7 linked regions of the Callithrix jacchus genome follow. The protein of the gene in region 3 interacts with the protein of the main gene of each other region in a pairwise test. Links are inferred from orthologs where the notes say so. Each region holds a gene or a part of one and is shown on either strand. Other genes may lie near its edges.

Region 1 (3,500 bases), on a different chromosome or scaffold from region 3:
CAATGCCCTCTCACCTCAGCAATGACCTCTGCCAGCCCAGGGTTACACAGAACCAGCCAGCGCCGAGGGGTGATGCCATTGGTCTTATTCTGGAACTTATGAGGCTCCAACTCATAGAAGTCTTTGAAGCTGCAGGATGAGGTTGGACAAGGGTCGCTACTCACCCCTGTAGGATGAAAGCCTCTGCCCTGGGGCCCCTACCCTGTCTTGCTGAAAGGGGCCTGGGGTGGGGAATGTGGACCTGGGGAAGGTGGGGGATGCTGTGTGTAAGAGGGGGCATCCCAGGACAGGGCGGCACTGGTAGGGGCTGCCGTGCTTGTAAGAATGACGCCACCTGTGAATGCCGCCCGGGGCCAGAGACCATGAAGGGCTAGAGACCATGAGTGGTCAGGCAGGGCAGTGAGGGGCGGGGTCTCTGTTAGACAGAGGCGTGGATTAGGTGGGGCTTAGAGACGGGCGGGGTCTGGAGAGCAGGGCTCACATGGTCTTCTTGAGGATCTCCGAGTGGATGCGCGCCACGCCATTGACAGCATGTGAACCCGCGATGCACAGGTGTGCCATGTTGATGCGCTTCACCGCGCCCTCCTCCACCAGCGACATGCGCCGCAGCCGGTCTATGTCCCCTGGAAATGTGGCCGCCACCCGCTGTGCCCAGAGAGCCCAGAGCTAGGACCAGATCCAGGAACCCCAGTCCCCAGTCCCCAGCCCCACACCCCCAGAGCTCTGCCCAGAGCCCTCACTGCCCCATAGTCTCAGGGCCCTGGCTGGGCACCCCTACTCCCAGGCCCAGACTGGGTGTCCCCCCTCGTCCCCGCATCGTCCCCAAGCCTCCCAACTTACGTTGAGGAAGCGCTGGTTGATCTCGTAGATGATCTGGAGGTGCCGTGGTAGCAGCGTCTCCAAGAGGTGCACCGGCCAGCGCTCCAGGGCCTCGGGCAGCACCGTATGGTTGGTGTAGGCACACGTCCTCACTGTCACATCCCACGCCTGGCACACGGGGTGGGCAGTCAGGACACCGACCTCAGCCTAGTGGCTCTCCCCACACCCTATGCAGCCCAGCAGGCCCCCCCACCACAGTGCCAGGTTTAGGACCGTCCCTCTGGCCTCAAGCTCCAGTCTGTTCACTCCACTCATATCCTCCCATGTCCCCAAACTGGGAAGGGAACGCTGAAGTGGAGAGTGTCAAATGAGGCAGAGGGGTCCTGAAGCCCACCTTGTCCCAATCCAGCCGCTCCAGGTCCACCAGGATCCTCATCAGTTCGGGGATGGCCAGGGAGGGGTGGGTGTCATTGAGCTGAATGGCCACCTGGGATAGGCAGAGAAGTCAGTCTGAGCTCCAAACCACATACCATGCTATGGTCACTGTCCTTTGCCACTTCGGAGCCCCCCAGAGAGCCCAGCACGGTTCTGTGACTGGGCTGAGGGCAGAGCAAGCAGGTGCTCATGGGGGTGGGAGGAATGGGGTAGGGGGAGCCGGGCAGGAGGAGGGAAGCCGAGGTTATGAGCCTGTGGATTGACCTGAGCAAATGACCCTCCCACCCTCCCAGCCTCCAATCCTTTATCTATTACATGGGGCAGTCCGACTGAGGCTGGAGGGAGAGGCCCGGCACACACTGTCCGGCACAGAGGCGCCCTCTACGCGCATAGTACCTTGTCCGGAAAGGCATCAAAGTTCGTGCGCACGGGATCGCGGCAGCCGAACTTGGAGGACTTGAAGCGACGGATGATGTCCTGGAGGGTGGCGGCTACCACGAAATACTCCTGCTTCAGCCGCAGCTCCTTCCCCTCAAAGAACTGGGAACAGCGCGAGGCAGCGTGAGTCAAGGTGGCAGGGGCGTGGCCTAAAGCTGCGGTGGGTGTGGCCAGAGGGGACTCCCACCCATACCAGGACCCCTGAGCCCTGAGCCCTGAGCCCTGAGCCCTGAGCCCTGAGCCCTGAGCCAAGACCCCTTTCTGGGTCCCAGGGAATTTTCCTCTACCAAGAAGTAGTGGCAAGAGACAGTGTCAGGAAGAGGGCACAAGAACCGAGAGTATCGTGGGTGTCGCCTTGGGACAGCTCCTCCAAAGTGCCCTTGGCTAACCCACTTCCCTCAGGACTCAGGTGTCCTTGTGCTCAAAAGGCTTAAGATGGGGGCACAGGATGCACAAGGCCAGCAGTATGCCCTGGGTGTGAGTAGGGCACCAGCAAGTGTCTCTCCCCAGTTCTTCCTAACCCCTGCTCCCAGGACTCAGGCTTTCAGCACCCCACACCACCCAGAGACTGACGCACATTATCGTTGGGGTATAGGACACGAGAGATGTTCTCCGCCAGGTTCCGGTCCAGCACAGCCTGGATGTAGCCACCGACGTTGACTGAGAGACGAGAGTGGGGAGAGGGTAAGGCCTGGGCAGGGCAGGGCTGGTGGGCAGGCTGGGGCTGCTACCAGCGGATGAACTCACAGTCCTTGAGGTTGAAGTCATTGGGAGCCTTGGCAGACCAGAGGCGCATGGTGTTGACGACATTGTTGCGATAGCCAGGCACCGGTGTATCATAGGGCATGGCCAGTACCACCTGCGGGGGGCAATCCTGTCAGGAGCTGCCTGGCCCTGGCATCTGCCTCCCTCCCCTCAGGGCTGGCACTCAAGGCTTTGTCCCTGCACTCTGCAGACCCCGGCTCTTGTCCCAATGCTAGCATCGACTAGTTGCGTAACCATGAGCAAACCCCATAGCCTCTCTGGACCTCATCTACAGGGAAAACACCCTCAGCACTTCCCCAACACCAGTAAGCCCTGCTTGGCAGACGGCGGCGAGGAGAATGGAAGGAGGCGGATGACAAGCCCGGAGCCCAGGAGGGGCTCTGTTGGTGACCACTCTGCAGCAATGGGGGCCGGGCTGGCCAGCCTGGCCTGAGCAAAAACTAGAGGACACTGGACTCAGGAGAGGACTGGGGAACCCAGGGCCAGGCTGAAGGGGTCACAGAGGTCAAGTCCATCCAAAGACCTGAGGCCTGGTTGACCACATGGCTAATTCCCAGTGCCTAATGCTGACCCGCCTTCCATAACTAGCAAACATCAGTAACTGCTATCACGGTGCCAGGGTTCTGTCCACTCCTCCAAGGGAGCCCTCTTAAGGGGCATCGCCTTCCCTCCCCACACTCAGTCACCTTGATTGGAGCAGAGTGGGAGCTGACACACAGAGAGGGAAGGGGCTGGTCCCTGAGCACACAGCAGGCTGGCAGCACCAGAGGGAGCCAGGTCTCCTGCCTTCCAGCCACAGCCACTTGTGCCAGCTGCAACATGCACCTGGCATGGACTGCCAACAGCCCCTACTGGGCCTTAGCCTGGCTAACAGCAAATGCTCAGTTCTGAAAGCCTACTGGTTTATCTGCAGCCCCTCTGGGGGCTGATGACCCGAAGCTTCAGCAGGAAGATTGCCTGAACTGGGATTTGGTGTGTGTTTGTTTGTTTTTGAGATGGAGCCTCACTCTGTTGCCCAGGCTGGAGTAGAGTGAGGTGATCTC
Region 2 (4,291 bases), on a different chromosome or scaffold from region 3:
ATTCAGCCCCTATGCTTGAGAGACGCCTGCCTAGATAGTTATGAGGGCTTTAGCCTTTTATTAGTGCTGGAACTGACTCGTTTGCGTGCCCGGTGGGTGTGAGGGTTAGGTATCCTATTATGTGCCAGGTCGGTGCATTTTTCTAGGGAGATAACCAAAGTTTTTCATTATATTCTTAATTTGTTGCTAAATATGCACCTTAGACTATAAGAATAGAGCAAAAGGGCTAATTTACACTTATAAGACATTAAAAGTAAACAAAGTTTTAATTTAATGAAGCCTTATTTACAGAATAGACTGCCAAGAATCGAAAAGGTTCCAATATCAGTCCATTTTAAACTTCTCATAGAAATTGGAGAGAAAATCTTGTGAAGGGGCATTGTAAAGTCAGGTTTGAGGGTTTAACTAACGATGAAGATGCAAGAGACTAAGGAGCTTCTTTCAAAACATTTTCTGGCATTAGGATTACCCAAGAGAGAGACTCAGGCTAATAAAAGCAAATGTAAATGGAAGATCTTTAAGCAGATAAAACTGTTATATTTTCCCACATAAACAGAAAATTCAAGAGGTAATCTCTTTTATCTCATCCATTTACTCTCTTGTTCTCTCTTGCAAACTCCATGCCAGTAACTTTCCTCTTGATGTGTTTCAAAACATAATCCTAGACTGCCAGAAACTACTTTTCTAGCTTTTATGTCTTTTGATGATTGTTAGGGTTTAGTGAGTGGATGTTAATTACAACCCCGAGATGAGATGCAATAAAAACTCTGGGAGTGCCCCACCCTAACATCTTTTTCTATCCTACTTAGTCACAGACTCACTCATAGTTTTTAAAAAACGCGGATTTACTCTTGCAAATGCTTTAAAGCCAAGTATTTGAACTCTGCTTTTACCTTGGGATTGCTACTCTAGTGATGTTCTAATACACAGAACTTCCTTTTCCTTGCTAAAAGTTCTCCTAATGGTAAAAATTGGTAACTTCCCACCCTCCTGCTTTTGCTTTTTGGAGGAAACAAAAAGTGCAGAACCGAGAACAGAAGCATAATCATTGTGGACAAATGCTATTGAAATGCCATTTCCTCCCCAGAGGGATGAAAGTACTAGAGTCGAATTTTACTAATTTTCTCTAAACACAGAGAGCGAGGATTGGAATAATAGGAATGTGATAAAAGAACGACAGCTGAAAACAAACATTCCTCCCTCCGCCCGGGTCTAAGATAAAAGCAAAGGACCACTTCCCCCGCCCTGGCTCCCGGCTCCCAGCAGTCTGGTTTATTGGTTAGGCTGCGATCACGATAGTTGTGCCTTCCCGCGCGCTGCCGCAGACTTGCATTCAGCCCCTACGCCTAAAAGACGCCCGCCTGGATAGTTATGAGGGCTTTAGCCTTTCATTAGTGCTAGAGCTGATTCGTTTGCGTGTCCGGCGGGTGTGAGGGTTAGGTACCGTATTATGTGCCAGGTCAGTGTTGTAGCCTTCTCACCTGCCTCAACACTTGGGTTAGAAGAAAGGACGTTGTAAGCTGGCAATGGATTTGAGGCCAATTTGCCTCTGCCAATTTGTAGGAAAGAAGCTGGAACTTCCCTGAGAGACCAGGGTGACGAGGCTGCTTTGCCATCGGGGACTTCGTGGCTAAACTGGAGGGTCTGTTGCCAGCCAAGCACTGTGAACCTATATTGAGCATCACCAGCTTTAAGGGAGGGGAGGGGGAAGACAGCCCGCCCAGATAGGTAAGGGTTTGGAAGTGGAACCATCAAGCTGTCCTCTGGCTTCATTCACCTGTTGAGCTTTCCCATGCATCTGTTTTCCCATGTGGGCAACTACAGGGTTGGATCCCGATCCTTGTGGCCCAACATACCCATTGTCCACTCACTCGCTTTCTTCATGGAGCAGCGAAAGGCGAAAAGCACTCGCTGCACTCCATAAGTGAGTTTTGAGCCCAGGCGAACACACGAGCGATACCTAATAGGCCAGCCAGCCACATAGGGTTCTCTTCAGCTAAGCTCTCTTAGGAGAGGCCTGAGAAGCAGGATGGCAGGCCGAGCAAGCAAAATAGCGAAGGGAAGGAAGGAAAAGTGTATGGGCATTGCAATTGATTACTCACCCGTCACCTGCACTGTCTTGCGCATCCATGCATAGGGGCTGTGGTGGCTCCTGCTGGGGGAACTGGCGTTGGTGGCGCCTGCGTCTGTGGGTGCAAGTGACCCGCCAGCCGAGCCTGGTAGACTGCTGCAGCTAGTTCCCCCGCCCGAAGGGGCCAAATTGCTGTAGTCGGGAGAGCAGAAAGCGGTTGGGCTCGAGGTCAGGTCGTTCACCGGCACTGTTCCCATTGTACTAGACGGCCCAGGATACACGCTCCAGTCTTCTCGCGGGGTACTGTAGGGTGAGCCCCAGGCTCCCAGAGTTGACCCATGAGGATCTATGCTGGACATATGAGGATACCCCATGTAGTGTGAGAAAGCCGATGCCGCAGGGAAATTGGAGGCTGGCATTAGACTCCCACCGTCCCCCATGCCGCCTGCCTCAGCTGTGCCGCTGCCCCCAGGGCTCCTGAGAGTACCCGGGTACATGCCTGCTTCTTTCTCCAAAGGGCAGCTTCCATACATCGTGGCTTGCGTAGAAGGCGCTCCCTAAACCATCCTGAGGTCCCTGTAAGGCCTCAACTCGATTTTGAGATAATAAAGAAGAAGCAGATAATAAATTTATCAATATGTAGTCGTGCCGCAAGCTCCTCTGACCTCTCAGACTACTCCATCCTACGTTTCCAGGTGACTGGTAGCCCTGTATAGATAGGCCACCAATAGCTGGGCTGACGTCAAGGGGCTTCAGGCTTTTACATAGCATTTGCATTCAAATGAAGGGCCATTTCGAACTTTCACAGCAACTTGTTCACCCTCTCCCCAAGCTCCCAGGCCTTTCTGTCTCATCTTTCTTGATTCTGTCCATCTTGTTCCCATAGCATCAATATTATGCTTTTGGGGACAGGAACACTCCTCCAGCGGTTTCTGATCAGCTCCCCTCAAAGTCAGATAGAGACCTGAAGAAGCCGGGCAAAGTTCCGCTCTCTGGAATTCAGTCCTTACACTGCGGCCTCCTCCCTTTCACCGATCTTCCTGCTTCCAACATGCATCTGCAGCCTCCTTCTGCCCAAATTCCCTCGCAGAGGTTTACCACATGGCACAGGCCCAGGATGCCAATGAGAAGGACTTTCCTTTACTCTCCTTACTCCCTCCATCAAGAGGAGGCCTTTGTTTCCGAGGGCAAAGATTAATTTCACAAATATCTGTTAAGTGTCTACTGTGTGCCTGGTACTGTGTAGGCACAGGGATACAGCAGTGAATAAAAGACAAAAATTCTTACTCAGCCTTCCTAAGATTGCACTGTAGTGGATGGCAGGCTGAGTTAATAGAATGTTTTACAAATATGCACGAATTAAAGAAAGATGAAGGTAGGTTATGAAAAATGGTAGGGGAGAGAGAGAGAAGAACCATGTAGATAATAAACTCCTATTTTCATGTCAATCCACTACTCTCAGATGTCTCTTTCTGCTAGATATGGCTTCTGTCTGAAATCCGGTGCCTCAAGGGGCCAGAACTCTTGCAGTCTCAAATCCATGGCAGCTGCAGCAGACTTAAAATGTTTTCTTTGTAAAACTCCAAATATTTATGCCAATGAAATCAGTATCTCGCCCCAAGAAACCAGGTCACCCGTTGTGTTCCTCCTCTCCACCCAGTGCCCCCAATACCTACCACAGCCTTTACTCCAGGCTGCTCCTTATTCAGGAAATGTGCTCCTACACAAAATCCAACATAACCTGGCACTCCCAACCCCATTTAGCTAATCCTTCTATAGCTTTGGGAAAGTCACTTAACCTCTCTGAGTTTCACAGTTTTATCCTTTTAAAAATAGAGAACCTACCTATTTTTAAAAGGAAAATGGTATCTACCTTACAAGCAGGATTTCCTCAGATAATGCAAGCAAATTGCTTAACTTAGTGCTTGGCACACAGTATGGGACCACTGTATTCACTCAACAAATATTTGTTTAGTACTAGGTGCTGTTCTATGTTTGGAGACATCAGTGGTGAACAGATAAAACCTCTGGCTTTATTAAGCATATGTAATAGTGGGGAGAAACACTGATAAGTAATTAAATTTTATGGTATATCAGACAATAATTAACTCTACGGAGAAAAAGGCAGGGAAGGAATATACAGAATGCTGGGAGATGGATGTTGCAGTTTTAAATGTGATAGTCTAGGAGAACTTCACAGAGAATTGACATTTAAGTAAA
Region 3 (3,500 bases):
GTCACCATGGTGAAACCCCATTTCTATTAAAAATACAAAAAGTTAGCTGGGCATGGTGGTGCGTGCCTGTAATCCCAGCTACTCAGGAGGCTGAGGCAGGAGAACTGGCTGAACCCAGGAGGCGGAGGTTGCGGTGAGCCGAGATCGCACCATTGCATTCCATCCTGGGTAACAAGAGCGAAACTCCGTCTCAAAAAAAAAAAAGATAATGTAGCAAATGGAGTGTATCACATGTGATACGGTAAACATTACACCATGAGACTTTTGTTAGCATGTGCGTGTGTGTGGGTGTCTGCAGCAAAGAAGAGACCTAAGCTTACAAGAGAAATCTCAATGTCTCTTTCCCCCTCTCCCCTTCACCCCCCGCCCCACCCTGGCTCACTCTCTTCTTCTTTCTCTGTCTCTCTCTTTCTATATATATATACATACAGAAACAACTTTTGGGAAGGTGCAAGAAAGACACAGCAAAAAAAGAGTAAATACTACAAAATTACCTCTACAAGATGCCTCAGAACTTTCCATAGAGTCTAGCTTTAAAGCATCGAACACCTCAAAATCCGATTTCTTGACATGGATCAAATTGTTAATTGTGCCGAGCTGACTGGTAACCACAGGCTGAAACAGGGAAAAGAAAAAAATACTGAATCTCTCTTTCAAATCCATCTTTTCCATCCAACCTTCCTCTTTTATCCTAAAATTTACATGTGATTAGACTCAGCACCTCCATATTTTATCAAGAGAGAAATCCTCCAGTGTAGGGGAGCAGCTGCCCATCAGTCTTGACAGAAGTGACAGCTAAAATGGGGCTGCTAAGTCAGTGGTTACCCTTGGAGATCAAGGCCTTACCTCTGATGGATCATGAACCCACTGTCCATCCACAAAGAACTTGTATTGGTGTTCTCCCTCAGGGAGGTCCAGGATGGCAACAAAGTCATTATGGCTATGAAGAAAAAGAAAAGCAAACAGGCCGAGTTCCTTTCAGAAGACCAAATATAAAAAACAAGTGGCAATCACAGTATCACATGAAGGATCTCCCAGATTCCTAAGCCACTGTATCCCCTGGTGTGAAAAACAATGTATAAACCCATTCTCCTCTTTTGTATCATCTTGGACGTGTATTTACCAGCTCCTCCCAACAACGTTAGTTCTTAACCAGTATCTGGAAAAGAATAATAAAAGCATGAATCCTCTGGAATGGTGCACCCTAGCATAACTACGTTGCTTCAGCAGAACAAGCTCCTAGCCAGTGCAAAGAAGATAGGTAGGTTCAGGACACAGTGCCTCAAGGTATCCTTTCTCTATTTCCGTGAACCTTTTCTGGAAAATGACCTACCATACAATGGGCCATTCTGACAACCAGTTAGACCATTCATTATTGCTGTGGGAGCAACAAATAACATGACTAGCTAGAACTTCAAAATGTGTTTTGCTTTAGTGCAGAAGTCAGGGCAACAAGCCTCAGCCAGTTACAGAAGACTTCCCACAAGCACAGCCCTAATGAATGGAGCCACAAAGCTATTATGAATCCCTCTGAGGCAATCATATTCGAAGGGGTAAAACATCTCTGACTCACTATGAAGTTTAAAAAAATCCCACAGATATACTAAGTGGCCACAGAAAGGGCATGTTCTAGAGAGAGTCCTTAGCAGTGGGGAAAAGTAGTCCAGTGGCGTTTCTCTTCTGAGAAAAGAAATTAGGTCACTATTCCTGGACCCTTAGATTCAACCAAGACACTTGTCTTCACCTCTTAATCAGTGGAATCTTGGTGCTCCAATTGTTGAAGGACCCAGAGATGAAGACCTCCTTGCCTCCTTCAGACCAGCGGATAACAGTGGGCCGGGCCTGCTGTGTGGGCTTTACGGAGTCCTCCAAATCCTGCTGCCAGGATACAAACTCTTTGTCCCCAGGGAGCTGTAAGAAGGAGTAGGTCATCCCTAGAATAAACTGTGACCCAAGAATTCTAAAAGGTCACTCTCCTCCCTAGGGTAGAGAAGGATGCTAGGCTTTAGCTAAGGATATAAACCCCACAATCAGCAACTAAATCTGAGTTTGAACAAATTATAGAAAAAAAAAACTCATTTAGGACCAAAAATGGTCAAATGGCCTATGCTTAAGTACCTCCTAAATCATAGCCTGACTTTTGAGTCTACCTGCATCATCCACCCTTTCCGCGCCTTAGACTCTCCTTCAAAAAAAAGCAAGAAAAAACTATTCCCTACCACTAGTTTAACTCATAAGCAGGCAATTATTATACACTTCTGAGTCTTTAAGAGAAAAAAACATATAAAAACAAAGTATGGTTCTATTAAAAAATAATATATATTTTTATAGGCAAATATGAATAGCTCTCAATTACCAGCTGTAATGGAAGTTAGAGACATCAAAATTCATAATTCATAAACGCTATTTCTGCTAATAAGTTACAAAAAGAAGAAACAGTAAAAACTCAAAAACCGGATCACTGATTTCTTAAAACTTGAGAAGTAGCTATGAAATCTTACTTGCTCCCCTGTGCTAGGTTTATACTAATTATTTCAGGAGTAGGAACAAAAATTCTAGAACCTCAAGGAGCAAGAGATCGAAAATACAGTTTCCTTTATCAAGAGTAGTAATCTTACCAAATGAGGTATGTGGGATTGCAAAAAAAAACATCTCCTGTTTCTTTTCATTATCATCCTTTGGACCAAGAGTTGGCAGACAGCCAGTGAGCCAGATGCTTTTATCAAGTTTTATTTGAAAACAGCTCCACTTATTTGTCTACCTATTATTTATTTATTGAGAAACGGCCTTGCTCTGTCACCCAGGCTAGAATGCAGTGAGTGGTGTGATCATAGCTCACTGCAGCCTTGAACTCCTGGGCTCAAGCCATGTTCCCAAGAAACTGAGACCAGAGGTGCGAGCCACCATCCCTGCCTTGTTTACCTGTATTACTTATAGCTACTTACAAGCTACAGTGGCAGAATTGCACAGCTGTAACAGAGACTGCATGGTCTACAATGTCTAAAATAGTTACTACCTGGCCCTTCACAGAAAGTTTGCTGACCCCTGTTTCAGATTGGTTTAAGTGACTCTGGTAAATGAGACTGTAGATTATTAAGCCTAAATATTACCAAATAGAATAATGTGGGCTTCCCCCCCCCCCAAAAAGGACTGGCTTATTCATTTGGGCCTTCTTTTCAAAATGGTTGACATAGTTTCCCCTCCATACATTCTCGTGATATTCCCCAAAACTACAGTACGAGACATCAGTAGCAGGATAATCCAAAGTAAACAGAGAAAGAGAATTGAAAGGACTTTCACATTATATAAGGAACTGACTTAAGAGAAAACTACATATTCTCAGAACAATGTACTCTTGCATGACTGACTGTGTTAGAATTGCAAGAATTTTACATATGCCTAAGAATAACCCTAAGATTCTGATTCAGATATAAGATCTGGGAATCTATTTTTAAAAAGCTTCCTAGATAATACTGTAATTATGTTAAAATAAAGTAAAA
Region 4 (4,209 bases), on a different chromosome or scaffold from region 3:
AAAGGCACAAGGGTCACCAAACCACACTGAGGATGACCTTTCACAAAATTCCCTACCTTCAGTCTAGATGCAGCACTAGCCAGGATGTGAACTGCTCTGGTTATACTTGTCCAAAATAACTGGCCCTGAAGCATTATGGAAATTCTCCCTGTGGCATATCAGCAGCCAAATATGTGGCATCCAGATCGGCTGACCATTTCCTCTACTGCCAAGAAGTTAGCCAACAAACTAATGCCCATAATTTTTCCTGGTCCTATAATTTACCTAACATTTTGAGAATCCAAGATGATTTCTTCCCCTTTTCTTTCTTTCTAATCAGTTTTTTAGTCTGTTTTTCTTCCTCTATTATAATGTCACACAGGAGATGATCAGTTAATTCAGGATCAATCGCAGGATGATGGCTAGGAGTTCCACCTAGACCCCAAGGTACCAGAACAAAGCAGTGTAGCCTGGGCTTTGAAAAGCAAAGACTCTAATGCTACATGTCTAAGATTAAAAATCTCAGCTTTTCAAGTCTCAAGCTGTGTAATTTAGGTCAGGTTAGCCTCTCCGTGCTTCAATTTCTTCAAAAAATTGTGAGAATTAAATAAGTATAGAAAAAAAGGCTTAGACCAGAACCAGGCATGGAATAACCACTATGAAAATGGGTATATACCATCATCATCATTACCGTTTGTTCATCAAGTGTAGGGTAACATGGATCTGCACAGAGCAGTTAAGTAGAAAAGTGGATAATGCTTACTACTTGTGCCCAGCCTGTACCCTTCTCTCCTCTAAAAATTCTCCCCAGTTAGTCTTTGTTGGGCACTTCATATGAATTGTGGGGGAGGGGTCATCTTCTAACAAATGCAAAAAGTAAAGACAGCTAGCTGATTTACAGGAAGAGATGTTGAAGCTGATCCACAAAACAAAACAGAGAGAGGGGAAGGCAGAAAGAATGAGAAAAAGAGCTTCTTTGGTTTCTACCACTTGCCAGTTGCACTCCAACCTGAGCACTGACTGCTTTTTCTGCTGTAACAGCGAGTAAATTCTCCGCTTTACATTAAGCTTTGATCAACAACATTCCCAAGAGTCTAATATAAATCCTGGAAAGTTTTCATTAAAAAAAAAAAAAAAAAAACACCTTAGAAAACTTGTATGCATCTGTTACTACACAAAAATTAAAACTAGATTGCAGGTAAAAATAAATATAACTTCAGAATTCATCCTCTCAACCCATCCTAAATCTAGCGCAGGAATTTACAAAGGTGAAGCTTAGGCCTCCTGGTTTCAAAAGCTCCACAGGTGTTAAAAGCTCTACAGCTGGGGCTCTGAGCCACTGAAACCCTTACACTTACCAAGTATGAACACCCTTCACCTACGACCATGGTTCTCTGCATAAACTAGTATATGTCTTTACCGGGAACTAAATAATTATTTTTGAAACAGCAGGAGGGAATAAGGCAAGCACTCTGCAAACTCTAACAATCTCCGTTAAGAGCAGAACATACGTTCTTTTGCTCGTCTACCAAGCAGGTAACTTCAATATCCTTCCCCCATCCCGTCCTTCAAGGAAAACAATAATAAACATACAAACTGAACCTTTTATCGGATTCCTCCTCCTTATTTAAGACACTCTAACACCATAAGTGTTACACAAACGGATGGCAGTAAATTTAATTTCAAGTTCACACTCGTCTCTACCTTAAAATGCCTTTTTTAAAAAATCACGGTTTCCGTCCGTAAACATCTCATTGATGTCGCCAGTAATTCAGTGATACATACAAAATAAACCCGGCTCGTTCGTCACACTTAGTTTTTAGTCAAAGACTTTGAAGGTTATGAGTCTGGGGATAAAAAAGTCTCTTCTGTTCTACCCCCTATTCCAAACCTCTACTATACAAAGGTATCAACAATAAAGTTATGATCTTGTTTCAAGGCTACTAAGAAAAAAAAATTTTTTTCCTCAAGAGTAAAAGGGGTGCACAAACCTCACAACATGGACTTTACAGATTTCTTACTAAAGCACTAAAAAATATCGAGGTTTAAGGCCGATAATAGAAGGCAGGATTCTCTCGAAGCTGTTAGGAGGCATGGGTGGGAGGAAGGGGCCTTTTCTCGTGACAGACCTGACTAAACGTAGCATCAGCCACAAGAGGAGGAGAGATTCCTAAAGCAACTTCACCTTTCAGAAAACAGTCCTTCACCAAGTGAGTAGCGTGCAGACTTGTGAATCGCCACAGACACGTACACCCCAGCGAAGGTGGGAGATCAAACGCTGCTTTCCACCTCGGCCCTCACCGCGAACAGGGATGTCGGGACCCCACGTGCCCCTCCCGGAGGGCGCCCCGGCCCCCAGCGCCAGGTGTGCGGACCGCCGGCAGCACTCAGGGGCCGGCTCGCAGCGGCCCAGGCCCGCCGCCCCCGCGCCGCCCGCGCGCCCTCAGCCGGCCCGCTCCCCTCCCCCGCGCGCTAGGAGCCCGTTCGTCAGCGGGCCGGGACTCCGGGCTCCGCTAACCGGCCCCTGAGGCAGGAGCAGGCGGCGGCCGGCGACTTGGCGGCTTCCCCACCTCCCCTCCCATCCCCTCCCCCGCGGCCTCCGCTCTCCACTCCCGCGCCCCCGCTTACCCTCAACTCTTCGAAATCCGCCATTTTATACCACCCGCGGGCGCCGCCGCCGCTGCCGCCGCACCCACTCCCACTGCCGCCAACGACGCCGCCGCCACCACGGCCGACTCAGCCTCCAGCACCATCCTGCACTGGGCGCCGCTTAAGACGCCGCGGCCGCCGCCGCTACAGCCGGGGCCGTCACGTGACCGGCACGGGGGCCCCGCCCCCGACGCGCCGAAGCCCCGCCCCAGCGGTGCCCCCCTGCCTACTAGTGCGACCGCCTTCCGCCCGCGCCTTCCGTCCGCTCGGCGACGGCGCCCAACGGCGCCCCCCCCCACCCCCCGGCCTGCAGCCCCGCGGCCTGGCCCCGCTCAGCTCCGCGTCTAGCCTTCCCTCCCCGGCTAGGTCCCTGCCGACTGGCTAGAGCTCGCTCGCGACTAAGGGGTTATCCGCGGGCCTGGCCTGGGGAAGTGGCGGCGAGGAAGAAGAGGCGGCCGGGACGCGTGACTGGAGCATTCGGGAAGATTCTTACGCTGCCCTTCACTCGGTGGCTGTGGATGGAGAAAACCGCCGCAAATAAAACCGTTCCCCAGAGTTGTTGTGGCGGAACAATCTAAATATGGGTGTTAAGTAAGCTATTGTTCCCATCTAATGGTGAGGTTGTTTGACACCTCTTTGAATTACTAATGCCCTACAAGTACCCACCTTGCCGAGTTTTTCCTGACTTTGAAGGGCACCTGAAGGTCACGGACTGCAGAATTGGGAGAGTTGGGGGGCGGGGGAGGGGGGAAAAGTGAAATAACAGCGCTCAGAGGGCCATGCTAAAAAGTCAGGGAAATCTGATCTCTAGGAAGAAGTGAAACGCCAAGGCAGAGCAAGTAGACAGAAGGAAGCTTGATGGCCCCCCTAACGTGCTGATAAACAATGAGGGAAGATGCTGAGTCAAGATGGTCAGAAAAATCGCCGGACAGAGTCCAGGGTTCAATTTCCTTGAAGAATTGGGTAGAACTCACCCACAAAAAGACTTTAAAACACTTAATGTAACTTTTAAGACTGTTTAATCAGCTTCCTACCTACTGCCTCTTCCCACGAGCCCTCGTTTCATCCGTACTGCACTTCAGATCTTCCATAAGTCCTTCCCTCCATTCCCCTGCCCCCGCACCCCGCAAGTTTTTTGATTTTGTTTTTTGAGAGAGAGCTTCTTTTTGTTTTTTACAACGGAAAGAATTCTGAAATAGGGTGCTACTTTGTCTCACCAGATCAGATTATTAATTTGGCGTCTTTTCTATGCTATATACTCCCTAATAATCATTCAATGTCTGTTCAAAGGAATGGCTGAGTGTTAAAGGGTAGAAAGGGCATGTCTCTCTTCACTATTGTGATCATTTTGTTCTGGTCTAGATTTATATATCCTCATCAAGAAGAAGTCCCTGCACTTACTTGAATCCAACTTCTTTATAATGTGGTAATGTGATATACCCTTAGAGGGGAGTGGGGAAGAAGGGAGGTGCAGTCATCTTACCACCCACAAAAGGCCACATATCAAAGTACGCTTCCAGCCACATGCTGAACTCTTCTACCAGAGAATTCTATTAAATATATCTTTTCTCCTTATTACAT
Region 5 (3,500 bases), on a different chromosome or scaffold from region 3:
AATCTCCCTTAATATGACTGTATATGACTGTAAATACCAATGTATCTCTCAAGTGAGTGTTCACTAATTTAGAACAGGACAAGATTCCTATTAACATTAGAAACAAGGCGAGGACATCCGCTATCATCTGTATGAGTAACATTGTTGTAGAGGTATTGGCCAAAGCAGTTAGAAAAGAAAAAAAAAGAGAGGAGATAAAAATAAAAGGCAGCTTATATTTTGCAGATGATGTAAACATATCTGGAAATCTTAAAAGAATACATTTAAAACCATTACACAAACATTAGGGATCTGAAAGAGGTTGTTAATAGACATCATGTGTGAACAGCTGCCCAGGTGGTTCTGATGCCCAGCTAGGCTCAGGAACCACTTTCTCTGTACCCAGTGGTGACCAGGACCAAGGACAGCTCCCACACCAGGCCTAAGGGTTTTCTTCAAACCTTGGGATTGGTCCACGCAGGGGGATTCCCATGAACCATCTTCTACTACAGCTTGGTCTCTGAGAGGTGCCTCCCTCAAAGTGAAGCTTAAAATCTCACCTTTCATTCAGCCACTGTAGATAGTTCTTTCCCTCCAGAATTAGGCTTGTGTGGAACCAGCCATAGCTAGAGTCACAGCAGGCAAAAGGTGGAAATAAAGGTAAAAATCAGAGCTCTATTTGAAGGCTGTGAAATGGAGGTGGGAGCAGTGTTGTTCTGTGGGCCCAAAGGGTAATGCCAGGACCACAAGCTGAAGTTCAAGGGGGGAAGTGATTTTGAGCTCAATGCAAGGACAATTTTTCTATCAGACAAGGCCACCCCTGGCATTGGAGAATGCAAAGGGAGATTGGATGTGCATTTTAGAGGGGATTCAGGCATGGTGAGGAGAAGACCAGAGAGGCATCAGGCTGTAAAGAAAAGAAAGGAGGGATGTGGGGTCATACAGACTGGGTTGGAATCCCAGTTTGGCCACTTGGCTGTTTGATCTTAGCAAGTCACTTAGCCTCTTTTTTTTTTTTTTTTTTTTTTTGAGATAGTCTCACTCTGTCACCAGGCTGGAGTGCAGTGGCACCATCTCTGACTCCCTGATTCAAGTGATCCTCCTGACTCAGCCTCCTGAGTAGCTGGGATTATAGGCACGCACAACCACACCCAGCTAATTTTTGTATTTTTGTAGACATGGGGTTTCACCATGTTGGCCAGGATGGTCTAGATCTCCTGATCTCATGAGCCATCTGCCTTGGCCTCCCAAAGTGCTGGGATTACAGGTGTGAGCCACCGCACCTGGCCATCACTTAGCCTCTTTAAACTCAGTATCTTCATCTACAAAACAAGATGGTGATATGGAGCTTCTGGGCTTGAGATCTGTGATTTCATACCCTCTATTCTCCCAGCCCAAAGACCAATTTGAGTGGATAGCCTCTCTGAAGGAGCTGGACCAAGGACCAGGAGACCAAGGTACCAGGGCCTGGGTGGGACAGGAAATCTGGTGCCTCTATCCTCTGCTGCCTCTGGACAGGTCTGTCTAAATTGTGGGGCTCCAGCCCCCTTTGCCTGTGACAATAAACTCACCTGTAATCTGGAAATATATCCAGCTCTCTGGGGGTCAGCTTCCGAAATCCTAGAATTGTATCCTTCCAGGAAGGATCCTAAGAGGAAAGAGAACGGGGTGCCAGGAGGGATGGAAGTCAATAATAATGATAACGGGCCAGATGCAGTGGCTCACACCTGTTAATCCCAGCACTCTGGGAACCTGAAACAGGTGGATCACCTGAGGTCAGGAGCTCCAGTCCAGCCTGGCCAACACGGTGAAACACCATCTCTAGTTAAAAAAAAAAAAAAAAATTAGCAAGACGGGTGGTGCATACCTGTAATCCCAGATACTCAGGAGGCTGAGGTAGACTCAGTTTTCTTGCCTGTATCATGATTATTATCACTCTTGGCCAGGCACAGTGGCTTGCACCTATAATCCCAGCACTTTGGGAGGCCAAGGCAGGCAGATCATTTGAAGTTAGGAGTTTAACACGAGCCTGGCCCCTCTCTATTAAAAATACAAAAATTAGGCAGGCACAGTGGTGCACACTTGTAATCCCAGCACTTTGGGAGGCTGAGGGAGGTGGATAACGAGGTCAAGGGATCAAGACCATTCTGGCCAACATGGTGAAACCCGGTATCTACTAAAAATACAAAAAATTAGCTGGGCATGGTGGTGCATGCCTGTAATCCCAGCTACTTGGGAGGCTGAGGCAGGAGAATCACTTGAACCTGGGAGGCGGAAGTTGCAGTGAGCCGAGATTGCACCATTACACTCCAGCCTGGGCAGCACAGTGAGACCTTGTCTCAAAAAAAAAAAATCTCTTGGTCCTCTGAAAGTTAAAGAAGATAATATGGATAAAGCCCTTAGTGCAGTGCTAAAGGTTGAATGAACCTTGAGAGCTGGCACGGGGCTCTGGGCACAGAGCCAGACTACCCTCTCTCCAAGCAGCCTGAGCAAAGCCTCCCAGGGCTGTGATGTTCCTGTTAGCACATTGGGCACCATGTGGTCACAGATCGCCTGGGTTCAAATCCCAGCTCTGCCACTGGCAAACTCTGTGGCCTTGGGCAAGTTATGCCATTTCTTGGAGCCTCTGTTTTCTCATCTATTAAGTGAGGCTAAGGACAGGACTTATCTCCCTGTTATTGAGAGAATTAAATGAGTCGCTAGCTGTCAATTAGTTAGGATTGGGCCTGGCACATAATAAATGCTTTGGCAGTTTTTGCTATGATGAGTATTTTATTACATCTTGATAAAAAGTCCTGGGACCTTCAGGGGCACATGAAAGCTTTTGGCTTCAGCAGCCAGTGCCCGCGCTGCAGAACATGTGTGCATTTCAACCATGCTAATCACAGGCTGCTTTCCACGGACACCAGAAGATTCTTTGTCCTCTGCCAATTTAACAGCAAAATTTGAAACAAAGACAATTTGTCAAAGTAAAAATAGAATTTAAATCAAACCTGTTTTGAACCCAGGAGTCTGTTGCCTACAAGACCCAAAGCACCCCGCCCTCATCTGTGATTAAGGCTGCGCTGCACCCACCCTCGCCATCCCAGCCCTGTGTGCTCATCCTGCGTGGTCCGGAACTGCTCACCCACCGGGATGGCTTTATGGAAGAGGTTGTAGCCCGAGATTAGGAACAGGCCCATTTTTTCAGCGTTGGGAGAATGGACGTGGCGCAGGAGATAGTCAAAGGTCTGTTGGTTCCAGTCTCTGGAAGGGTCACAGAGAGTTCGGTCACCCAATGCCCTGAGATGGGCAAAAAACCTTAAGTCAGCTGGCATGGGGCTGTGGCATGATCAGGAGCTTGGGGTGTATCCAAAACCTGGAAATCCACCGTGTTCACTCTTACAGCTCCCCAAATGCCTTGGGTCTTCTCCCTCCCAATTTTTCTAATATTTCTCCATTAATAGGATAAAGAAGAGAGGGAATGAAGGCTGCCCCATCATAACCATTTGGACTACACCTCCAGCATGGGATTACCTGAC
Region 6 (3,970 bases), on a different chromosome or scaffold from region 3:
GAAACCCCATCTCTACCAAAAAGCACACAAAAACTAGCTGGGCGTGGTTGCTCGAGCTTGTAGTCCCAGCTACACTGGCGGCTGCGGTGGGAGGATGGCTTGAGCCAGAGAGGCAGAGGTTGCAGTGAGCAGAGCCTGCCCTTCCCTGAATGTGTGGTAGGTTAGAAAGTCAAATGGAAAATAAATTACTTAAGAAAAAAAAAAAAAGGCACTCTGTGTTGTGCAGAGAAAGGGGCTTTTGAATATGGGCACAAGGAAGTGAGTGCCTGAGATCAGGAATCATCAACTCCCAGACCATCACAGCTGAAAGGGAGGAGAGATGATGATGATGATGATGATGAACAGCAGGAAACGTTTTTGAGAAAGTGCTGTGTACAAGTGTTTTTGTTTGTTTCGGCTTTCCCCTTTAAAATCATGTACTTTGCATTCTCTTATTTAATCCTTATAGCAATCCAGTGGGGGTGGGTATTAGCACTATTTTACAGATATAAAAACTAAGGTGTATAAAGTGTCCAAGAACACATAGTCAGGAGCCAGGACTCCCAGTTCCAAAGTTCGTGCTCTTAACTGCCTTTAGCTGCTGTGGTGACTGAGTCTAATCCAGTACAATTTTACAGGTGAGGCTCAGGGAGGGGAAATTGTCTTACCCAATTCTTAAAAAAAAAAAAAAAAAAGACTAGAATTTGTGCAAATCCGGGCGCAAATCTGGTCAAGGAATTATCACAGAAACTCAGATTTAAGAAACATTTATTAGATCCTTCCTTCCTTCAAAAAAAAAAGCAACAACAATAACAAAAAACAGTTATTAAGTACTTGCATCACTGCAATCCATCCTGAAAGCGAAGTACTGTAATACTGAACATGGGGAAACAGGCTAAGAGGGATAATTCCCCCCAAGATCAATTTAGCAAAATAGCTGCACTGCCGGGCTCACACATTCAGGTCCAGAGGCTTCCAGCAGTTTCATTAACCTAATCCCAGGTTCCTTCCTCCCGCACCTGTGGGTCTGAACCAACAACCCCTCCCCCCCCGCCATTTCCCTGGACTTGGAGCACGCTCAGAGCGGTGCATTCTGGGATTCGTGGTATCCCACGAAGAATGCCGACTCTGTGGGCCAATAGAATCCGAGTATAGACGACTGTATCCACCTCTGAGGTCTGCTGGTTGCTCAGGCCTCCCTCAAACTAGCCAATGAGAAGTGCATGGGTCCTGGTCGCCTAGGAAACCGCGTGACAACAAGATGGCGGCACCGCTGGACGGCTAGCGGTCCTGCGTGGTGAGTCTGGCCCAAGACCTTTCTGCTCCTGGAGTCTCCACGCAGGCTGGAGCCCAATCCCCGAGAGCCCCGAGGGCCCGCGAGCTCCGCGGCTCCCACAGGAGAGATTCGAGACCCTGCTTACCAAGACTACGCTTGGAGGCGGGAGTAGGCGACACGGCTGCCAGGGCTGGGTTAGGTTGTGATAGACGTCGCTCCCTGGGCGCGTCCTTGGGGGCATTAGGGAGTGACTGCTGGCAGCAGGTCGAACTGTGTCCCCGCCACAGCGCTGGGCCCTGGGGGTGACGGACAGGCCGAGGAGGTGTGAAGAAGGATGTTGTAAGTCAAGCACAGCACTGAGGTCGGTCCCAAAGATGTGGAGGCATGGTACACAGCTTTGCTCTTAGAGCCGGATCTGAAGTGGGTGACAAACCTACCTTAAGGAGCTTTCGGCCTGAGAGGAAGCCATAGTCCTGCCCTTGGAAGCCCCAAAGTGAAAGAGGTAGACATGTCCTCAGGGCTCCCCATTCTGAAGGAGAAAGAGACACAGCCCTGCCCTCAGGAGTCCCCCCAAACGGGTGGGGAAATGCAGCCTTTGCCCGCAGTGTCCCCCGTAATCAGGGAGAAGATTAACCTGGAGGCAGTGTCTGATTGGACTGGAGTGACACTGGAAGTAGGAAAGTCAGTTGAGGGCCATGTGACAGCCCCTAGAATGGGCAGTGAGAGTCCTACTAGGATGGCCGACAGTGGGCATGGAAAGGGGCAGCTGTGTGTGAGAGAGTTTAACCTGCAGGGTGTGGTGTAAGAGGGAAGGAAGGAGAGAAAAATGTTCTGGTTGGGTGACGGGGTACCATCAAGAAGGGAGAAGTGGGAGAAAGTGAGTTTGAGGAAAGATGTTGGGTTTGGTTTAGGAATTTTTTTCCCCTATGGCAGCTTTATTGAGATATAATTCACCTACTATATACTTCACTCCTTTACAATGTAAATTTCAATCGTTTTTGGTATATTGCAGTATATATTCCGTTTATATGAAATGTGCAGAATGGGCAAGTCTATAGAACAGAAAGTAGATTTGTGGTTGCCTAAGGATGGCTGGGAAAGAGGGTGAGGGCTAGAGGGTAAGTGGGAGGTGACTGCTAAAGGATACAGGGTCTTTAAGACTGATGAAAATGTTCTCAAATTCTGGTGATAGTAGTACAGCTCTGTGAATATACTAAAAACTTAAATTTACACCATAAGAGGGTGAAATATGTGAATTATATCTCAAATGAAAAAGTTTGTATACTGTATAATTCCTTTTATATAACTTTTTTCAAGTAAGAAAATTATGGAGATGGAAAATAGCATTCTGGTTGCCAGTGGTTAGGGCTGGGGGAGGGGTGCAGGATGGGTGTGACTGTAAAGAGGGCCACAAGGGAGATCTTGGTGGGTCTAGAATAGTTCTGTATCTTGATTGCAGTGGTAGTTACCCATGTGACTTGACCTATGTGATTTAATCTGCCCATGCGATCAAACAGCATAGACCTGTACATACAAACTGTATAAAAAATGTCAGTGTCTACGGCCATACCACCCTGAACGCACTTGATCTTGTCTAAAAAATGTCAGTTCCTGATTTTGATATTGCACTGTAGTTATAAAATGTAACTACTGAGGAGAGCTGGGTGAAGAATACAAAGATCTTTCCTAATTTCCTGTGAATCTATAATAATTTTCAAATAAAAAGCTAAAATATAAGTGAAAAACAAACTGAAGGGGGGAAAAAAAGAGTTAGCTGGCCAAGGGAAGGGTGCAGGTAGGAGTGGGGAGTTGAGGCAGTGGGGACACATGTGCATTTGAGGCATTGCCAGCAGTTCAGGTGGCTCAAGTGTGGGAGGTGGCAAGATGGGAGATGAGCCTGGGCAGCACAGTGAGACTCGTTTCCAAAACCTCCCTAGTAGAGGTCCTTTAGTTCTAGATATTAGTGACTTAATCTGCTTCATTTACTGAATAGAGTAGTAGCCTTCAGTGATGTCCCTCAAGTGCACTCTTTCCAGAAGGAAGAGGGAAGGAAAGGAAACTTAACATTTATGAGTGCCTTTTATGTGCCAGCAATGGCAAAAACTCAGAGCAGCCCCAGCTCACATTTTTCAGTGCTTTCTTTGAGCTTGGTGCTGGGCTGGACGTTCTCTGTTCTCTCTGAATCTGCTCAGAACCCTGCCTGCGTCTGTACTATTACTACACTATTTTACACTAAAAGAAACTGAAGATGGATTGCTCCAGTGAGTGGCAGAACTTGGTGTCCTAATCTTGGTGTGAATCCTGCCTGTGGGTTGCCCTCTCTGGCTCTGAGATGTTGGGAGTGGCACATGGTTTCTGGTGGGAAGGAAGGAGACACTTGGGCTTTGTGCCACCCAGCTCACAGATGGATGGACAGCCTCCTGGGTAGTAGTGTTCCCAGGCTGTAAGTTTGAGGAAGTCCCAGGCTTCTGACTCATTTCTGCATCCCATCCCATCCCATCCCATCCCATCCTCACTGCCCTTTCCCAAGCACCATCAGACCAAAGGTCTCTCAGGTCAGAGTGGAGAGCCGTATTCCCAGAAGAGCAGTCAGATAACAGAAACTTCCGGAAACCTCTGTCGGGGCAGTGGAAGAGGCAAAGGGTACTTTTGCCTACACAGTGCTTCCCATTAGGAAGAAGAGCCAGGGAAGAGGCAACTTCAGGCTACTCCCTG
Region 7 (3,500 bases), on a different chromosome or scaffold from region 3:
TGGCGGGCACAGAGCAGCAGTCCCTTTGCCAACCCTGCTGGGGGTAGCACAGCCAAGGTCCTCAAGGGTGGAAAGAACCAACCACGGAAAGGAGGGGATAGAAAGGGAACGGTCATACAAGCCTAAGAATGCCCGTAGAGCATGGGGTGAAAGGAAGGGCAGAGCTCAGGGAGGGGACACTGGATGCCTACCCGAGCGCTTGATGGGCACCTTTGTGTAGTCCTTAAGCATCAAGTACTTGACCAACTTATTTGCCTGGGAGGGAAAAAGGAAATCATTAAACTTATAAGGTCCTTACAAAAAAACTCGTTGAATTATAGATGAGAGGATGACAAAGAAAAGAGCAAGAGAGGGGAGAAGTGACTGGAGAGTTACAGCTCTTACTCTTTCTTGAAGAAGGGCCACATCTCGGGGTTGTGCAGCACCCAGGTTCTGTGAGGCACGCGAGTTGGGGGAAGGGCGCAGGTTAGGTGAGGGGCGCAGGTTCTGCCAGTCAGGTGGAATTGGCCAGTCAGCAGGGATCCAGTCAGGTGGTAGCGGCCAGTCAGTGGGAAGTGGCCAATCAGGTGGCAGTGGCCAGTCAGGTGGTAGCGGCCAGTCAGGAGGACCTTGCCAGTCTGGAGGGCCCTGCCAGCCCGGTGGGGTCTGCCAACCAGGTGGGGTCTGCCATCCAGGTGGATTCTGCCAGGCCAGTGGATTCGGCCAGACAACAGGGCCGGGCCAGACAATGGGGTTTGGCCAGATCACCGGGTTCTGCCAGATTACTGGGTTTGGCCAGATGACTGGGTTCTGCCAAGCAACTGGGTTCTGCCAGGCTGGTGGGGTCTGCCTAGCTGGGGGGCTCTGACGTGCTGGTGGGGTCTGTCTGGCTGTCTGGTTTTGCCAGCCTGAGGGGTTCTGCCAAGCCAATGGGGTCTGCCAGAGCACATTGGGGGGTGCGCCAGGTGGGTTCTGAGTAGTCACTGGAACTGGTGCAGACCTCCAGGTCCCTGCAGCCAGTGGAGCCCACCTCTGATCCCCACTGCCGTTCTCTTCAACATTCAAGTTATTAATCTGCACCATCAGAGAGAAGAAAAGTTCAGAATCACCAGTAGGTTCTCTGTCCTCACCTTATCTATTCCAGGAAAGCCCTCTAAACCCTCACCTGTAGTGACAGCCTGACCCACTAGCCATTGGTCACCCTGAGTCCTGGGCTTGTCTTTCACTGTCTTCCAGGCAGGAGTTTCATCTCTGAACCAGGCCAGGAGCAACCCAAAGATGGGGCCTGAGGCTTCTCCTCTTCCTATGTCCACCACTGGCTCTGCCTGTACCACCCTGAACAAATCACTCAAGTCACTTCACCTCTTGGCACTTAAGTTTCCTTCTCTGTAAAATTGGGACTATGATCCCGAGCTGGTAGGAGGTGCCTTTAAGATTTAATGAGACAACCTGTGGGAATGTGCTTAGCTCAAGGCTTAACACATGGTGGATACTAACAAAATGTAAACTGAATTACATACAAGTTGTATATATTATTTGTGTCCATATATTATCTCTGATCAGTTTGTGAACACCTGTAGGACAGGAATAAACATTCTCTTCAAATGCCCTACAGCCTAGCTGAATACAGTTACATACATTGTTTTGTTCAGGACAAATGAATACCCTCAGAGAAGAAAGGAGAGAACCCCAAAGCAAATTGAAGCTAGCAGGGATCTCACCTTGCGGGTCCTCTTGCCCCGAATTATTGTCCGGGATTCCAGATTCTGAGCCTGGGAACCATCTGCTGATGTCTGTGCAGTCGCACCGTCAGGTTCAGAGATAACTGGATCGGTCTCTATGTCAGCGTGGGAAGTGGCCATTTTGGCCTGATTTACATTCTGGGTCTGGGTATCAGCTGTTGGGGCCTTAGTGGTATCATTCCAAGCCTTGAAGGGGGTCTTAGGCCTGTTGTTGGCCATGTTATTGGCATTGAGAGACTGAGAGAAATTGTAGGTGGCAGTTGGGCCCACTTTAGTAGTGGCATTCTGGGCCTTAAAAGCCATCTCAGACTTGTTAGCAGCTAACTCACCAGTGGCTGCTGCCTGGGAAAAATCATAGGCAGCATTTGGGCCCTTTGGGGTGGCATTTTGGGACTTAAAGGCTGCCTTGGGCTGCGTGTTGGGCACCTCCTTAGCATTATGAGCCTGAGAGAAATCATAGACACCATTTGGGCCTTTTGTGGTGGCATTCTGGACGTTAAAGGCTGACTTAGGCCTAGCTGCGGCTGCTGAAACCTGAATGTCAGCCATCTCATTGGCAGTTGGGGGCTGTGAACTCTGGGGACTAGCAGCTGTGGTGGCCTGGTTAGTAGGTGGAGCCTCTGAGATCTGGATGGCCTCCATCAAGGTCTGCATAAGCAAGGCGCTGTCTTCTACGGAGGCCTCAGCCTGCAAACACAGGGGGGAAGAAATTAAACCTCTGGGCCTCTGATGCAGGAGGTGGGGTGGGAATAGGGAGGCCGGCTGGCAGCGCAGCAGGGGAGCTGCAGGCGGTCGGTGGGTACAAAAACAGGAGGGTTGAGGCAGAGATCTAGGGGGACCGCGAGGGGCTAAGGGGGGCGGGGCAGGTGCAAAACGTGTGGCAGGGGTGAAGTAGAGTAGGGGAAAAATGAGGGGTGGGGCTGTGTGCGGAGAGTGGGCACGAATGGGAGCAGGGGACGCTGTAAAGAGGCGTGCAGTAGCAGCTCAGGAGGGGAGGCGGATCGCGGGGTTGAGAATAAGGGGGGTCGCACAGAGTGGGGAATGCAGAGGGAGGGAGGGTGGAGGCAGGAGGCTAGGGGGAGGGGGTGACAGACTGCTCAACAAGCGTCAGGACTGTGGAAAAAAAATGGTTCCTTACCCACCCCGCATTCTCTGGGCAGACTGCCCTAACTACTAACAGGGTCTCCCCTCTCTCTGAGCAGGGACTGATGGCTGAAAAGAGACGCCCCTCCCCCCTTCGATAAACGATGGGAATTCGAAAAGACCACGGAGTCTAGTCACTAAAGAGGGCCAAACCAGATCCCGGCGTTTGCGAGACCAAAGAGGCCCGCGGGGAGGGGTGACTGTCGGCTGGGGAAATGGTGGGGTGGGGAGCGGAGATCTCACCTGGAAGCCGAGGAGGCCCGCACCACAGTCCATTTTCTGAGCCATGGCTCCTGTCCCTCTGGCAAGAGCGGAGCCTGGGGGCTGTGGGAGAGGGGCAGGGCGTTACACTACAGAGGGCAAATACGAAGGACCTAATTGGGAGGGGGGTGACTGTGGTCTGATTGTGCGGGCGGATAAGGTGAATGTGAGGAGGTATGGACCGGAGCGGGAAAAGTGAATGGGCGTCCAGATGGAGGTTTTAAACCCCGAGAAGCTAATGACAGGGCAAAGCTTCAAATCCGGGTTCGGGAAGCAGATGAGTTTTGAATTCGGGGGAGGGGGGCGGTTGGATTGGGATTCGCATATGGGAAGTTGCATGGAGGTTTTGAGTCCGGAGGAATGATCTAACAGTAC

The links.
Region 1: the proteins of PRKAB2 (region 3) and PYGM interact in binary tests that used the Homo sapiens proteins (3 or more experiments, as listed by UniProt). The link is inferred for Callithrix jacchus from reciprocal best matches to the Homo sapiens genes PRKAB2 and PYGM.
Region 2: the proteins of PRKAB2 (region 3) and CDX4 interact in binary tests that used the Homo sapiens proteins (3 or more experiments, as listed by UniProt). The link is inferred for Callithrix jacchus from reciprocal best matches to the Homo sapiens genes PRKAB2 and CDX4.
Region 4: the proteins of PRKAB2 (region 3) and PIAS2 interact in binary tests that used the Homo sapiens proteins (3 or more experiments, as listed by UniProt). The link is inferred for Callithrix jacchus from reciprocal best matches to the Homo sapiens genes PRKAB2 and PIAS2.
Region 5: the proteins of PRKAB2 (region 3) and DAO interact in binary tests that used the Homo sapiens proteins (3 or more experiments, as listed by UniProt). The link is inferred for Callithrix jacchus from reciprocal best matches to the Homo sapiens genes PRKAB2 and DAO.
Region 6: the proteins of PRKAB2 (region 3) and UBXN11 interact in binary tests that used the Homo sapiens proteins (3 or more experiments, as listed by UniProt). The link is inferred for Callithrix jacchus from reciprocal best matches to the Homo sapiens genes PRKAB2 and UBXN11.
Region 7: the proteins of PRKAB2 (region 3) and melanoma-associated antigen D1 interact in binary tests that used the Homo sapiens proteins (3 or more experiments, as listed by UniProt). The link is inferred for Callithrix jacchus from reciprocal best matches to the Homo sapiens genes PRKAB2 and MAGED1.

What each region holds. Positions count from the first base shown.
Region 1 is NC_133511.1:121,823,622-121,827,121, forward strand, and holds part of PYGM (glycogen phosphorylase, muscle form), read right to left. Parts: intron 2,552-3,500; coding exon 2,440-2,551; intron 2,353-2,439; coding exon 2,270-2,352; intron 1,795-2,269; coding exon 1,651-1,794; intron 1,307-1,650; coding exon 1,214-1,306; intron 988-1,213; coding exon 841-987; intron 646-840; coding exon 482-645; intron 130-481; coding exon 15-129; intron 1-14. UniProt on the Homo sapiens protein: Allosteric enzyme that catalyzes the rate-limiting step in glycogen catabolism, the phosphorolytic cleavage of glycogen to produce glucose-1-phosphate, and plays a central role in maintaining cellular and organismal glucose homeostasis.
Region 2 is NC_133524.1:70,844,604-70,848,894, reverse strand, and holds the start of CDX4 (homeobox protein CDX-4), read right to left. Parts: upstream 2,801-4,291; 5' UTR 2,605-2,800; coding exon 2,103-2,604; intron 1-2,102.
Region 3 is NC_133519.1:7,286,801-7,290,300, forward strand, and holds part of PRKAB2 (5'-AMP-activated protein kinase subunit beta-2), read right to left. Parts: intron 1,912-3,500; coding exon 1,745-1,911; intron 941-1,744; coding exon 847-940; intron 616-846; coding exon 495-615; intron 1-494. UniProt on the Homo sapiens protein: Non-catalytic subunit of AMP-activated protein kinase (AMPK), an energy sensor protein kinase that plays a key role in regulating cellular energy metabolism.
Region 4 is NC_133514.1:90,007,396-90,011,604, forward strand, and holds the start of PIAS2 (E3 SUMO-protein ligase PIAS2), read right to left. Parts: upstream 2,801-4,209; 5' UTR 2,632-2,800; coding exon 2,608-2,631; intron 2,369-2,607; exon of another isoform or gene 2,165-2,368; intron 1-2,164. UniProt on the Homo sapiens protein: Functions as an E3-type small ubiquitin-like modifier (SUMO) ligase, stabilizing the interaction between UBE2I and the substrate, and as a SUMO-tethering factor.
Region 5 is NC_133510.1:111,779,859-111,783,358, reverse strand, and holds part of DAO (D-amino-acid oxidase), read right to left. Parts: intron 3,262-3,500; coding exon 3,111-3,261; intron 1,628-3,110; coding exon 1,551-1,627; intron 606-1,550; coding exon 540-605; intron 1-539. UniProt on the Homo sapiens protein: Catalyzes the oxidative deamination of D-amino acids with broad substrate specificity. Required to catabolize D-amino acids synthesized endogenously, of gastrointestinal bacterial origin or obtained from the diet, and to use these as nutrients.
Region 6 is NC_133508.1:62,948,664-62,952,633, reverse strand, and holds the start of UBXN11 (UBX domain-containing protein 11), read left to right. Parts: upstream 1-1,170; 5' UTR 1,171-1,202; coding exon 1,203-1,276; exon of another isoform or gene 1,277-1,616; intron 1,617-3,970. UniProt on the Homo sapiens protein: May be involved in the reorganization of actin cytoskeleton mediated by RND1, RND2 and RND3. Promotes RHOA activation mediated by GNA12 and GNA13.
Region 7 is NC_133524.1:52,170,999-52,174,498, reverse strand, and holds part of melanoma-associated antigen D1, read right to left. Parts: intron 3,189-3,500; 5' UTR 3,153-3,188; coding exon 3,108-3,152; intron 2,409-3,107; coding exon 1,701-2,408; intron 1,054-1,700; coding exon 385-1,053; intron 256-384; coding exon 192-255; intron 1-191. UniProt on the Homo sapiens protein: Involved in the apoptotic response after nerve growth factor (NGF) binding in neuronal cells. Inhibits cell cycle progression, and facilitates NGFR-mediated apoptosis. May act as a regulator of the function of DLX family members.